Linked DNA regions of Tamandua tetradactyla. The protein of the gene in region 1 interacts with the protein of each later gene in a biochemical or structural test. Links are inferred from orthologs where the notes say so. Each region holds a gene or a part of one and is shown on either strand. Other genes may lie near its edges.

Region 1 (7,258 bases):
AGTGATAAATTAGATTCCCCTCTCATCCTCAAGCCCTTGAAAAAGGAATACCATGTCCATTTCTTTCTTATTCTCTCATACAATTTGTGTTCTACCGTCCACCAGAGAGGAGCTTTTTGACTTGGCTCTTGAGTTGGGTGCTTGGATATACCTATTTTCCTAAAAAGGCAAAGATCCCTTCCCAGAAGGAAAGGATATTAGAAGTTGAAAATTGATTTTTCTGAGAGCAGCAAGGCGTCAACTAGAAGTGACACTTGCCTTCACAGAGTATGCCATATACAGGTCTGTGCAGTTACCGTATTCTGACACCTTCTTCCCAGCCCCTTGGGCTTGAAACATATGAGTACTCCCTCTTCTCCACCCTTTGACTAACTCAGGCCTTGTCAACCATTTTCATTCTCATTTATAAGGGATACCTTCACCTGCCCCTTACCAACTCATGCCTGAATTATTGTAACATCTTCCTGGCTGGTTTTCTTGACCCTCGGATTGAATTCCCTGCCCCATGTAAACATGCTGCTTTTCCAGAATCTGAGTGCAATTCTTTTTGTATTTGCTGTTTACTAGTAAAATTATAAGCTCTGAGAGGCCAAATACTCTCAGAGTTATTAGTGTGTGTTACATAGAATTGAGTAGATATTAACATTTTGATTATATATTTAAGATATTCTACTGCTTCTCTAATAAAAAAAAGGATACGAACATAATCAAATGTAAACTGAGGATTATACATCAAGATTCATCAAGGGAACATTCAACATTTCTATTTTTTTCCCATCATATAGGTCAGTGCCAGGCACATAATAGAAGCGCAATAATTGTTGGCTAAATGAAGCCTTAATTGAACTTTAAATTCAGTGAGGGATTCTAGGACTCAGGCTTATGGGGTGAAAAAATGGAAGCAGTGTGTCAGCATTCCTCTGCCTACTATCTCAGAAGGAAGGTCAACCCAGGTCTGACACCAAAGAAACACCCATGAGGAACAGAATCCATACTGAATAGCAAACTCTCCCCACATCTGTTCATCTGCCTATTTCCAATTCTAAATGGTACTCCTGTCCTACCAGCCAGCCAGGCACCAAACCATATCCAGTTAACTGCTTCTGTCATCTCTGCACTCTCTTTTGTTCCTGACATTAGTACCCTGGTTGAGGCCTCATCACCTTTTTATTTTTTTGATTTTGTAAACTATGTTAACATATATAACTCAAATTTTCCCATTTTAACCATATTCAAATGTACAACTCGGTATTACTATATTCACAATATTGTGCTACCATCACCCATATCCATCACCCCTACTTTTCATCGTTCAAACTCCTCACCCGTTAATCCATAACACTCTCTTCCTGCTCCTAGTAACCTATAACTGTGACGTTTGTTTCTTCTAGATGTTTCATATAAACAAGATCCCACAGTATTTCTCTTTGTGTCTGACTTATTTCACTCAACTTGATGTCTTCAAGGTTCATTCATGTTGTAGCATACATAAATTTATTTTTACAGCTGAATAATATTCCAGTGAGTATTTATACCACATTTTGCTTATCTGTTCATTGTTGATGGATGCTTGGATTGCTTCCACCTTTTGGCTTTGTGAATAATGCTGCCATGAACATTGATGTGCAAGTATTTGTGTGAGTCCCTATTTTCAATTCTTTGGGATATATACCAAGAAATAGGGTTGCTGGGTCATATGGTTATTCTGTTTTCAATTTTCTGAGGAACCACTGAACTGATTTCCACAGTGACTACACCACTCTGCAGTGCTACCACCTATTTCTCTGCATTCTCATCAGCTCTTATTATTTTCTGTTTTAATAAAAGCGATCCTAGTGGATATGAAGCAGTATTTCACTGTGGTTTTGATTTGCATTTCCTAATGACCAGATGTTGAGCATCTCTTCATATATTTGTTGGTCATGTGTATATCTTCTTTACAGAAATGTCAATTCAATTTTTGGCCATTTTTAAATTGGGTTGTCTTTTTTTGTTGAGTTGTAGCAGTTCTTTATATATTCTGAATATCAAACCCTTATCAGATATATGATTTGCAATTATTTTCTCCCATTCTATGGGTTGTCTTTTCATTTCTTTGATAGCGTCCTTTTTGGCATTCAAATATTTTTTGATGATCCATTTTATCTATTTTGTTGTTATGGCTCATGCTTTTGGTGTCATATCTAAGAAATCACTACTAGACCCAAGGTTATGAAGATTCCTCCCTATGTTTTCTTCTACGAGAGGCATCATCACCCTTACCCCAGAAGTTTGTAGTCACTACCTATTTGGTCTTTCCACTAAGCCTTTCCTTTTCCAGTTCCTTCTGTCCTCAGGCAGCCAGTGAATCATCCAAATTAGAGCTTAAATGATCAGTGTGTCTCTGTTTCCTGTGTTAAATTCTTTAGGATTCACCATCTCCTAAGGATTAAGGGGCAAATTCCTTAATGTGGCATTCAAGGACCTCCACTGATTTGATCCCAGTCTTCCTTTCCCTCCTCATGTTCTAATCTACCCCTTTAAAACACCCTATGCTGAGTCAATACTTGCTTTTCCCTATAATTGACCTCTGTGTTCTGTTACTCTGCTTATGTTATTCCCCGTTCCTAGAAACCCCTTCATTCTCTAACAAAAAGCAGCATAGTGTAATGGTTAAGAACATGGACTCAAGCAGAAACCTGTTTGAATTCTAATTTTGCTACCCATTAGCTATGTATACTTGGGCAATTTACCTAAAATTCTTCGTTACACTTTTTTGCATCTGTAAAGTGGCATAATAGTACCTACTTTATAGGGTTGTTATGAGAAACATGATATAAATATCATCATCTAGGAGCATTATTTACAATTGCAAAGAGATGGAAACAGCCAAAGTGTCCATCAACAGACGAGTGGCTAAACAAACTGTGGTATATACATACGATGGATTATGCAGCTTTAAGACAGTAAATTTATGAAGCATGTAATAACATGGATGGACCTAAAGAACATTATTCTGAGTGAGACTAGCCATAAACTAAAGGACAAATACTGTATGGTCCCACTGATGTGAACCGACATTCGAGAATAAACTTGGAATATGTCATTGGTAACAGAGACCATCAGGAGTTAGAAATAGGGTAAGATAATGGGTAATTGGAGCTGAAGGGATACAGACTGTGCAACAGGACTAGATAAAAAAACTCAAAAATGGACAGCACAATACTACCTAATTGCAATGTAATTATGTTAAAACACTGAATGAAGCTGCATCTGAGCTATAGTTTTTTTTTGTTCTGTTTTTTAATATATTTTTTGTATTTTTTATTTTTATTTTTTCTCTATATTATCATTTTATTTCTTTTTCTGTTGTCTTGCTATTTCTTTTTCTAAATCGATGCAAATGTACTAAGAAATGATCATACATCTATGTGATGATATTAAGAATTACTGATTGCATATGTAGAATGGAATGATTTCTAAATGTGTTAATTTTTTTTTAATTAATAAAAATATCATCATCTAGGCATGATTGAGGTTTTAGGCACAATCTAAACTTTTCAAGGCATGCTTTACTGTTCCTCTGCTGCAGTTGTGCATTCATGTTCATTGGACTATACAAAGTATATCAGTACTACAGTAATTACTCAGTTGAGGACAATGGGAGGTTGGAGAGAGACTAGAGGGCTGGGTTAAGTATTTATTCGAACAAATATCTTGTATTCCTACCATGAACTTGTCTCTAAGAATTCAAGCATTGAAGAATGCTCAGACTAAAGCTCAAGGATTCTTTTTTGTTATAGCATAACTTACATCTTTCAAATGGAAAAACAATAGTATCATTTACAGTATCTTAAGATAAATTGCCTCTGAATGGGAGTTTCCTTTCCAGTACTTTGAGGTCCACGCAATATATCTAGAAAATTTACAGTTCTAGAAAATGAAGACTGCTTAAATCAAATGGGGATCAGGAGAGGGCCTATTGTTTTCTTTTTGTAGTAAAACTGCTGAGAGAGTTGATTTTTTTCTTTAGACATCATTCGCCACCAAAGCTCTTCCAGAAAAACTAATGATATATATAGAGAGAGCTCTTGAGTCTACCATTCATATTAACTCCATATTAATTTTTTTAACAAATGGGAGTGCTTCTGAGTATTTATGTCCACATTCTGCTTTAAGACTGTGTATTTAATTTTCATAAATTATTCTTGGAGGCCCATTTATCATCCCTGTCAATCTTGTAAATTCATGCCTTCATCATCTTCTAGACCCCAGCTAACTATGCCACTCCTGTTACTTTTTGGCCTTCTTTGAGTTCTTTCAGAAGTCAGAAATTGCAAGGGACTTTTTCTCCCGAGTCCGTGGTAACTGCCATCTTGTGTTGCTGTCACTCTCAAACTTTTACCCTAGTGAAAGATGGTATTTTGAGTTATGTGCTAAGGTGGTGAGGGAAAGGGAAGTTCTTAAGGGATTCCAGAATAATACAGAGTAGTTGGGGAGGATAAAAGAATGGTTAAGTTTGATCTGAAGAGAAACATGAATCAGAACTCCGAAAAGTGGCTATGTTCCTTTACTCCTTGGTACTCCTGGCCTCTGCCTCTCATTGGTACTCCTGTCCTCTTCCTCTCATCTATAAGAGATGACCTTGCCTTTCTTCTCAGAACTCTTCCTTTTCTTCCCATATGTGATTCCATGTTTGCATCTTCAGCCTAAGTACATGCTTCTGTTCAGTCTGTTTATGGTTCTTTCAGCTGTACCTACTACATGTTGGGTTCTTGACTAAGCCCTGGGGCTTCAGAAGGAAACTTGCTCTCCAAGGACTCATGGACCCAATCTAGCAAACAGATTGTAACTAACTGGAGTGATCAGCACTGTGCCTCAGACTCCAGCCTGAGGAGTCAGGGGAGGCTTCCTCTAGTCAGTGACCCCACCAGAATCTTCATAGTTGGACAGAAGCTCTGTCACCAAAGAAGGCACTGCTTCCACCTGAACAACTGGTACAAAGTCTCAGAGTCTGTGAACCAGAATACCCTGGAAGACCACTTTCTCCCTTGCCCAAATGCAAGATCCATTTACCAACCCCCTCCCCAGTGTTAGCTTCACTGCTGTGGCCACACTGAGACTTGCCCCAAGGTGGAGAAGTGAGGAAGCTGCTGCCTCAATATAACTGGCTGAGGCTGCCCAAGGTCCTGGCAGGAGGAAGTGGATAAGTACCATATCTAAAAAGAAATGGCATCCTTAGGCCGTATCAGGGACAGCAGTTTCCTTATTCCTTCCCCAACTTCTGGCCAAGTCAATGTGCACAGCAGTACAGCCAGCTAGGGGAGAGTGGGTGAGGTGGGGACAGGATTGTAGGATGCAAAAGCTGTAGTAAAGAACTGTGGGCTACAATGGAGGTGTACACACTAGTTAATTCATGATTGCACCATCCCAAGCAGAAAGTGATGACTGGTAGAGAAGATAAGATTCAAAAGACAGTTAAGAGGTAGATCCAACAGGACTTGGTGATAAATGATAATGGGGGGCGGGTAGGGGGAGTCATAGCTCTCAGCCATAAGCATACTCCCCCAGGGTGAGGTCACCCCCACTTCCTGGCAATCCTAGGGACCAAATGAGTGCCTCTAGGGCCTATAGCCCATTGCCCTGCCCACTGCTTGGCAAGTTATTCTGAGTTTCAGTTTGATAAGAAAAGCTTCTGTGGTGAAAACCAAAAGGAAGTGAAAGAGCTGGCCCATTTCTGCTAGAAGGTTGTGGGAGAGAGAAGATGGCCAGAGCTTTGTATCCACTGCAAGCCCTATGGCTCCTAGAGTGGGCACAGCTGCTCTTGGGACCCGGTGCTGCCCCTCCAGCCTCGGCCTTGAACTTGGATCCACTGCGGTTCACCCTTTATACAGGCCCCAATGACAGCCACTTTGGGTTTTCATTGGACTTCTACAAGGACAGCCATGGGAGGTGAGCCATGGGAGAAGTCTGGGTGTTGGGAAAGAAAAGGAACCCTCTACTCTGTCACTGCTTCTGTGGGTTTCGAGTTCCCCATTTATGATGGAGGTTGAACAAGATGACATTGGAGTCTGTTCAGGCTGAGCTATAGACAGGAATGCTAGGGAGGGACTGACTCAGGTGAGGGTGGCAGGGAGGAGGTTGGTACTGAACCCCAGCAAAAACAAAGGAAAGACGAACGTTCCTGCCTTCTGTTTTTTCCCAAGGTTAAGTTGTATGACCTGCTCCATGCTCACCCTTTGGAAAGACAGAGAGTAGCATATGTCCTAAATTGACTTGCAAAACTGTAAAATTATCTACTCACCCCAATCCTCAAAATTATAGATATCTGAAAAGAAGCAATGTTATTTTAAGGTTGGGATTGTTTTAAGGTTGGGATTAAATAGACTGAAGTCAGGGAATCTTCAGGGAAGATTAGGGAACTGGCTCATTGTCTTAATAGCTTTACAGTGAATAGTAACTTATTGTGGTGGAACTGGTGGTGCCCATCTTTGGAGAGGGGCAATGGCAGATAGCCTGCAAATGTTCTTGATGGAATTTTTTCTGTTGAAGAGAGCTAATTCTCCCGAAGTCAAGTCCCCATTGCCAAGGTGGCTCACATCCAATGACTGATGAATTCAGGGTGTGGTGGTGGAGTGTGTAAGGATCTGGCATTCTAGCCTCAACCCAGGACTTTTCTGTAGGGTTTGCCAGAACTCCCCAGGAGAGGGGAATCAGGGGACAAAACTGTCATTAGGTCTGCATCTCTGCTTAACTCTCCTCCTCCCACTCCTGTTTCCCCTCCACAGGCATTGATCCCAGGGCCACTTCTTGGTAAATATTCCATGTGCTTTATATATATGCTATTTCTTATATATACTATATATAGTATATAAAATTTAGATACAAAATTTTATAATATATATATCATTTTATTGAGAACCTTTATGTATTTGGCTAGCACAATGCTAATTTATTTCATTTACCCCTGATAGCTTTAATTGGTTGGTATTATCTCCATTTTACGTGAGGTCACACTCACTGAAAAGTTAAATGACTGAGCAAAGTCTCACAGTAAATGAAGAGTTGTGATTTGGACCTAGATCTGCTAAGGGTCCTCAGCTCCATCAGCCCTCCCCCCTCCCATCTGTACCTAAGAGGCATTCTGGCTTCCCTCATTCTCCTTTACCATTGAAACCAGCTCTCAAGAAAAGATGTGGTGACAGTGTAATAGTCTCCAGACAGACGTTCTAGCAGCATGTATTTGAGTGGGACAGGTAGGGGGAGGTGGGGATGGTGT
Region 2 (7,065 bases), on another chromosome or scaffold:
GACCCACTCTCTGAGCCCTTGTAGCGTTCGGCTCTGGGCTGGTCCCCAGGACTCTGGGATGGTAAAGGATGGAATTAGGGCACTGGGCCCTTCCCTTTCTGTGGGAGTTTGTGATCTAGCAGGGGAAATAAGACTCATATGTGGGGAATGCTTGGAGGCTGTGTGCAGGGCAGCAGCAAGCATCTGGAAGGAGGATTCCTGCCCAGGGGGGAGGTGGTTCTTTGCAACCACCAGATCCCTGTTAACACTTAAGTTCTCTGGTTTGCAGTGGAATTCACTCAAGTGCCAAAATGTCTGCTGCAGACAATAAGCGATGTGGGCTGGCAGGAAAGGGAACTTGGGGAGGAGGTGGGAACAGGGATGGGCTGTGGGGGCCCAGCACACCCAGGCTGAGAGCAGGGAGCTGCTGAGGTTTGTTAACCCACTGGCACTCACCTCCCTGAAATTTTCCTGGACCTGCTCCTGACCTCTAGCTCTTCCTTGTGCCTCTTTGCCCTGGTTTCTTCATCACACACCCAAAGTTCGTGACCCATCCTTTCTGTTTCTCCCCTGTCCTCTCTGTCTCTCCTCCAGTCCTCTGAAAGGAACTGGCTTCTCTTGTTGGGTGAGGCTGCCATGCCGGTGGGGAAACCCATGGGCTGGTCTCACCTCTGTGAGCCTGACCCTCGTGGAAATCTTGGCTGGCTGGAAGGCTGGAGGCCAGAGGCCAGGAAGGCCAAGGTTCCCAGGCAGAGGCTGAAGTGGGGAGCAATGTCAGGCCTGGATTGCAGAACTGGCCTGAGCAGTCAGAGGCCTGAGGATGGAGACCTGAGTGTCTCAGGTTGGAGCAAAGGGGTGTGTGGGGTGGAGGTAGGGTGGGGGTGGTAGAGGCAGAGACTATGATGTGCATTGGTCCAAAATTACCTTCTAACCTTGTGGGACTGGTCTCCTTTCTGGCCCCTACTCTGCTCTCTGCTGCCTCATTAGGCCAGTGGGAAGTCAGAGGGGAGCTGTGGATTGGGCAGTGAACATCCTGGAGCAGGTAAAGGGTCTGATTTGCTGGAGGTGGGGTCCTGGGAAGGTCTCACACTGGGGCAACTTAGTAGAAGCCGAGATGCTGTCCTAGGACCTGCCCCCTCTTGCCTTGAAGAGTAAAGCCACACTCACCCAGGACGCCCCTCACTGCATATACATCATACATTTACACCAGTGAGGCTGCTTCCCCCCTCGCGCTGCACATGCACACAGTGGGGGCCGAGCGGGGGTCTCACGCAGCCCTGACGGTGGACTTGGTAAACAGGCAGGGAAAGAGCTGAAGCAGTGCCAGCAGCAGGCAGATGAAGTGACGGAAATCATGCTCAACAACTATGAGAAGGTCCTGGAGCGCGACGGGAAACTGGAGGAGCTGGAGCAGCGTTCCCACCAACTCCTAGACATGGTGTGAGGCCTGGGGAGGCGGGGAGGGGAAGGGGGGTTTGGAAGAGCTCACTGAGGGTGCTCTCACGCTGTCCTGGCTGGATTAGGGGCCAGGGGTGGGGCCTCTGCTTTCCTGAGCATCCCCCATCCCAGGGATGCAATGAGTAGGCTTTATCAAGTCAGAAGTCCAGGTTATGAGGCTTGGTCTGAAGTCCTTCCTAAAGGTTGAGGACTGGCATTGTGAACTTGGGGGGAGGGGGGTCGCCCAGTTAGCATGGCACGTCTGGGGCTGAAACCAGTGTCCAGACCTGGAGTCTGGTGGGGAGGGTCCGAGGGCAGGCTGTGTGGAGGAAGGGAGCAGGCGCGGTGGGAGGATGCAGGCGATTTGGCCTGGCTTGGGGCATGGGCGTGGGTGGCGCTAGGCTCAGAGGCTCTGGGGGCACCACTAACTCCTGCCCTGTATCTGGGGGCATCCACAGAGCTCAGCTTTCAGCAAGACAACCAACACCCTGGCTCAGAAGAAGCGTTGCGAGAACATCCGTTGCCGGATTTTCCTGGGGCTGTTGGTGGGCTTTGTCCTCATTGTCCTGATTGTGCTGCTGGCCGTCTTCCTCCCAAAGGACGGGTAGGGCAGCGGAGTCCTGCAGGACACGGGCACTGCCTTTGGGCCTGGGGACTGACCCAGCTGGGCCTGGAGCACAAGCCAAATGGCCACAATGGCCAGTTCTGTTCTCCAGAGGATCCTGGCCTTTGTGCCCATCCAAGCCACCCTGGTGAGCTCTGAAGTATAGCCCCGATGTGTGTGTGCAGCTCTGCAGCTCTGCAGCTCTGCAGCTCCGCAGCTCCCATCATGCCAGAGACTGGCCTTGCAGGCAGCCTGCTGCACTGGCCAGGCCAGGCCCGCTCCACCTGGGGCGCAGTAAAGCTGCTGTTTGATTAAAATCTGCTGTGTGCGTATGTGTGTCTCATGGTCCCTGTACATGTTGGGTCCAGCCTCATTCTGTCCCAACCCCTGGGGCTTCTTGGAAAGCCTACCACACAGAGGCTCCGCCCCCGGGAGAAGGCATCTTCTTTTTTCCCTTCTTGATCCAACACTACACAGACAGATCTTTCTAGAGTGAGGGTGCAAGTACACAATAGCCCCCAAACTAGACCCTGGAACCAGTCTTCCTACTCTGACCCTGTTTCCCTGAGATGGAATCTATTATATAATATTTTCAGGCATCCTGAAAGGCCAGTGGGACTCTAGATGGGATGACAATGAGGAAAACATTTCTAAAGCAGTGCAACTGAGACGTTACGATTTAAAGAATGATTATGGTTGCTGAATCATTATATAGATATTCCTTTTTGCCTCCTGGTACATTGGAGTGGACAGAGGGAAATACCTGAAATCTTTAAACTGTAATCCAGCTGCCTTGATTTCTGATAATAATTGCATAGCCTTTAACTTCTGCCTTTTTGATTGTAAAAACCTTGTGACTGCCCATCGCTTGTACCCATTTTATCCGATTTTTCGACTTAGAAGTCTTGTGATCACTGAAGACAGCCCCTGATGTTTATTAATGAAGGGCCTTGGGTCAGCCAGAACTAACCCACCCCAATTCCAAAATTATCTTGATAGACAGATAATTTAGATTATCTGGTTAGATTCAGCTTCAAGATGGGCCCACCTGACATGTGCAGTAGCTTAGACTTTAACCTATAAGTCACCTATACCTCATTATAATATTAAAAATCATGCCCAGGGCGGGCCACCGTGGCTCAGCACGCAGAGTTCTTGCCTGCCATGCCGGGCACCCAGGTTCGATTCCCGGTGCCTGCCCATTAAAAAAAAAAAAAAAATCATGCCCAGCATCATTTTAAGGCCACTATTTTCTGACGTACATTGATTCCAAGCATGTAATCTGTGCATGCTCAATAATTAGATCACCTCTAATCACATCATCTGGAGCCACTGTGTTCATTATCCTAAAACCTGCCCATCTTTAGATACTATTGAACTATAAGAATTACTGCAGTTTGGAAAGACAGGTATTTGGGCCGACAGGCCGTCTGCTCTCCTGCTTTGTGCCTAGTAATAAACTCTTTCTCTCTTTCAAACCCGTGTTTTATGATTCGGTCATTGTATGCATAAGGCAGAGAGCCCACTGCCTCTGTCTGGTAACAGTAGCACGAGGCCCTCATGTTCAGACAGGCTTTTCTCCTTGTGGATGACAGCTCCCCCCAGTTTCTCCACTCATCTTCTCCCTCAAGCTTGACACCAGATTACAGAGGAAGCCATAGGCAGTGAAAATAGGGAGAGCTTGCAGCACCGGGCTGGATGGCCATGGGGAGGGGAGGAAAGAACTCAGGCTTTTCAAAGCTCCAGGGGCCAAATGGGTTCAGGCAGGCACGGCCTTCACTGTGACCGCAAGCATCACTGGGCTCAGGCTAGAAGAAAGAAGCTTCCCTGGAAGGTAGTGGAAACCTAGGCTACTTAACTGTAGCTCCGGGTTAACTGTGGGTGGGAAAGGGAGCTCAGGGTCAAGAGAAAATCTATGCTGTTTTTTTGCGAAGTAGACTGAAGACTTCTGACAGAAAAGCACGGATCCTTCCGAATTGGTGGAGTTTTACATCTTGGGGTGCCTTGTGCTTTTGCTGGGCTCATCACCTACTTCCTTTCCCGAGGAAAAGGGAGGGCAGCACTGGGCTCCGCAGATGCTCAGCAATGCCAGTCACAGGCTGTGTGCATTTCGGAAAGCCACCTCTGAGAGGCGGGTTTTACATGCCTAAAAAGGAGGTAACGGTACTCATTGATGCTACGTGTAAAATGCCCGTCAAGGTAAACGTTCTAACGCCAAATAAATGGTAGCATCATCCAAATAATTTAGTGCAGTGGTTCTCACGCCCGCCTCACATCAGAATCACCTGCGGAACTTAGAAAAATATCGTTAAATCCGAATCGTTGAGGGCAGGCGTCAGACAGGGTTTCCCTTCCTCTGTTGACCCCGGAGGTTCCCATGCAGCCAGGGTCGCCAGCTCTTCCTGGTCTAGTTTTTCAAGTGCTGGGGGCGAGGCTGGGCCCTGGGCTGCAGGTCACACCTGCCCCGAGGGCAAGGACATCCCCGATTCCCGGGCGGCGGGAGGGTTGGCCCAAGAACCCTCAGCTATGGGAACCACCCCCCGCCCCTCCCCAGAGGACACGCAGGGATTCTCCGAGGCCTGCAGGGCCGGGAGAAGGGCGGCACAGCTCCTCCAGGCGCCCCCGCCCACTCCGACGGCCCCGGCCCGGCCATTGGCCGCAGCCCTAGATCACCTGACTAGTCAGAGCTAATGAGACGCGGCCGGATCAGGACTTCCGCCTTTCCGGGCATCGAAGGCCACCTTTCCCGCCCTCCACCTGCTCTGATTGGCCACCTTCTGTCAGCTCATTAGCTTATTGGCCGGCGCCGCGAGGCCGCGGTCCCGCGGAGTGCTAGAGCTGGGTGGCTGGGGGCGGCGACTATGGCGTCCTACTTCGATGAGCACGACTGTGAGCCGTCGGACTCCGAGCGGGAGGCTCGAACCAATTTGCTACTGGAGCTCGCAAGGTGGAGCCCATGCCGGGGGGTTCTAGGCTGGGGCTGGAGGGCCTGGATGGGACTGTCCAGACTGCGGCCTGGTGGTGCGGGGGCACCGCCTGGGCAGGGTGACGGGGACAGGGCGCAGCTGGAGGGTGAGGGGCGTGGGGCCGGGAGGGCAGCGAGCTCTGGGCGGTACGAAGGCGGGCTTTGAGGCGGGCGCGTGGGCGGCGTCATTGCGGACCCCATCCACCGAGGCCGGCGCTGTTGGAACCAGCTTGGCCCAGCTATTCCTGCGTGGTCTTTGGGCTTGTGGCCCGATCGCAGCTGTGAACGTTTCCCACCTGCGTTTTACTTGGGGAGCCCCTACCAAGGATTCGCTGTTACAGCTCGTAGCTGGGCAGGACATTTATCCTTTGAAGTCCAGGGATTAAGGGGCAAGGAGGAAGTATGATTTTCCCTGGTTGCAGTCTCACATCCTCCTCTCCAGGTCACTTTTCAACAGGATGGATTTTGAGGACTTGGGGTTATTAGTAGATTGGGACCACCACCTGCCTCCGCCTGCTGCCAAGACTGTGGTAGAAAATCTCCCCAGGACAGTCATCAGGGGCTCTCAGGCTGGTGAGAACACGAATTCTTTCCGCGGTGTCGGGCAAGTGTGTTAGACTCACCTGTCGCCCCGAGCCAGACGGTGCTCTGGTCCTTCAGATTCCCTGGCCAGGTTGGGGCAAGAGTAACCTTTAGGAATGGGGATTGGGAGGTGTGGCCCACCGCAACATTTCTGATCAGCCTCCCTCCCAAAGAGCTCAAGTGCCCCGTGTGTCTTTTGGAATTTGAGGAGGAGGAGACTGTCATTGAGATGCCTTGCCATCACCTCTTCCATTCCAACTGCATTCTGCCTTGGCTCAGCAAGGTACCACTTCCCTTCCTCCAGCCCTCACCCTGCCCGGTCACAGTTCTCAAGCCTATGTTTATGGACTATTGGGGGAATCAAAGAAGGGGTGGGAATTGGAAAGAGGGGAAGGATGGAGGTTAATTAAGACCAGACCTGGGGCTAGAACAGTGCCCTGCTTTTCCCAGACAAATTCCTGCCCTCTATGCCGCCATGAGCTGCCCACTGACGATGACACTTATGAGGAACACAGACGAGATAAGGTAGGGGCTGGTGGTGGGCATGGAAGGTGGCAATGGGTTTCCTCTGCTCCTCTCCCTGCTGTTCTCCTTCCCACCTCTGCAGGCCTGTGAAGGCCCTCAGAGTCTCTGGCTCTGCTGTCTTCCCAGTGACCTTAGATGGGGACAAGGGCTTCAACAGTGAAGGTACCAGTGGCCTTCTGCTTCTCCATTCCTTCACCCACAGACCCCCAGGTGTTGCCCCCTGCTCACTGTGCTCTCTTCCTCCCAGGCTCGCAAGCAGCAGCAGAAGCATCGACTTGAGGACCTCCATGGAGCCATGTACACATGAGCTAACTGTGGCTGAATGCCAGCCCTGTACGTCTTCCTTTTTGCATCGTGAATCCTCATTAAAGGTTTCTTTACCCACCCTGCAGCTGCGTTGCTCACAAGCCGGGGTGGGGGTTTCAGCATACTCCATCTGGTCCTTCTTGCTCTTGGGGTAGGTGGTCCTGAGCTACAGAAGGCATCAGATTGGAGTTTCTTTTCTGCTGACCCTGTTGGCCTGTCTGGATTCAGGGCAGTACAGCCCAGGTCAAGAAGCCCATGTCAAGGGCTTGGGCCCGTGTGTTCATGGTTGGAAGGAAAAATGTGTGAGGATCTGGTACCTAGTCCAAGTCATTACTTAAAGCGGATAAACACAGACAAGCCCACTCCTGTAATTTTTAGTCAACTTCGGAATACCAGGGGGTTTCTTGAGCTCCAGTAAGAAAACATCTTCTAGCATTTTAAAGTTCTGCCTGTCCTCTACTATAAAGAGTCCATGTTCCAGCCAGACTATGAATGGAAAGAAGTGTGGGGAGGTTATGAAGCCAGGTCAGCTTTTTAGACTGTTCAGAAACCTAAGGGGCTTCTAGTTCCCTGGTGTCCTTTGTTCCTGACATCTCTGCCCTCCACGAGCCCTTAGAACCTTACGTCCTTCGCTGGGGAAAGCTAAAGCCATTCTTGTCAGGCCCTC

What was found.
Region 2: the proteins of ITGA2B (region 1) and RNF181 form a complex in vitro, tested with the Homo sapiens proteins (2 studies listed by BioGRID). The link is inferred for Tamandua tetradactyla from reciprocal best matches to the Homo sapiens genes ITGA2B and RNF181.

Annotation. Positions count from the first base shown.
Region 1 is NC_135332.1:23,085,914-23,093,171, forward strand, and holds the start of ITGA2B (integrin alpha-IIb), read left to right. Parts: upstream 1-4,167; 5' UTR 4,168-5,743; coding exon 5,744-5,931; intron 5,932-7,258. UniProt on the Homo sapiens protein: Integrin alpha-IIb/beta-3 is a receptor for fibronectin, fibrinogen, plasminogen, prothrombin, thrombospondin and vitronectin. It recognizes the sequence R-G-D in a wide array of ligands.
Region 2 is NC_135343.1:59,894,327-59,901,391, forward strand, and holds RNF181 (E3 ubiquitin-protein ligase RNF181), read left to right. Parts: upstream 1-4,818; 5' UTR 4,819-4,881; coding exon 4,882-4,967; intron 4,968-5,427; coding exon 5,428-5,558; intron 5,559-5,740; coding exon 5,741-5,850; intron 5,851-6,017; coding exon 6,018-6,092; intron 6,093-6,339; coding exon 6,340-6,399; 3' UTR 6,400-6,476; downstream 6,477-7,065. Other genes in the region: VAMP5 (vesicle-associated membrane protein 5), read left to right, coding at 1,280-1,417, 1,875-2,024.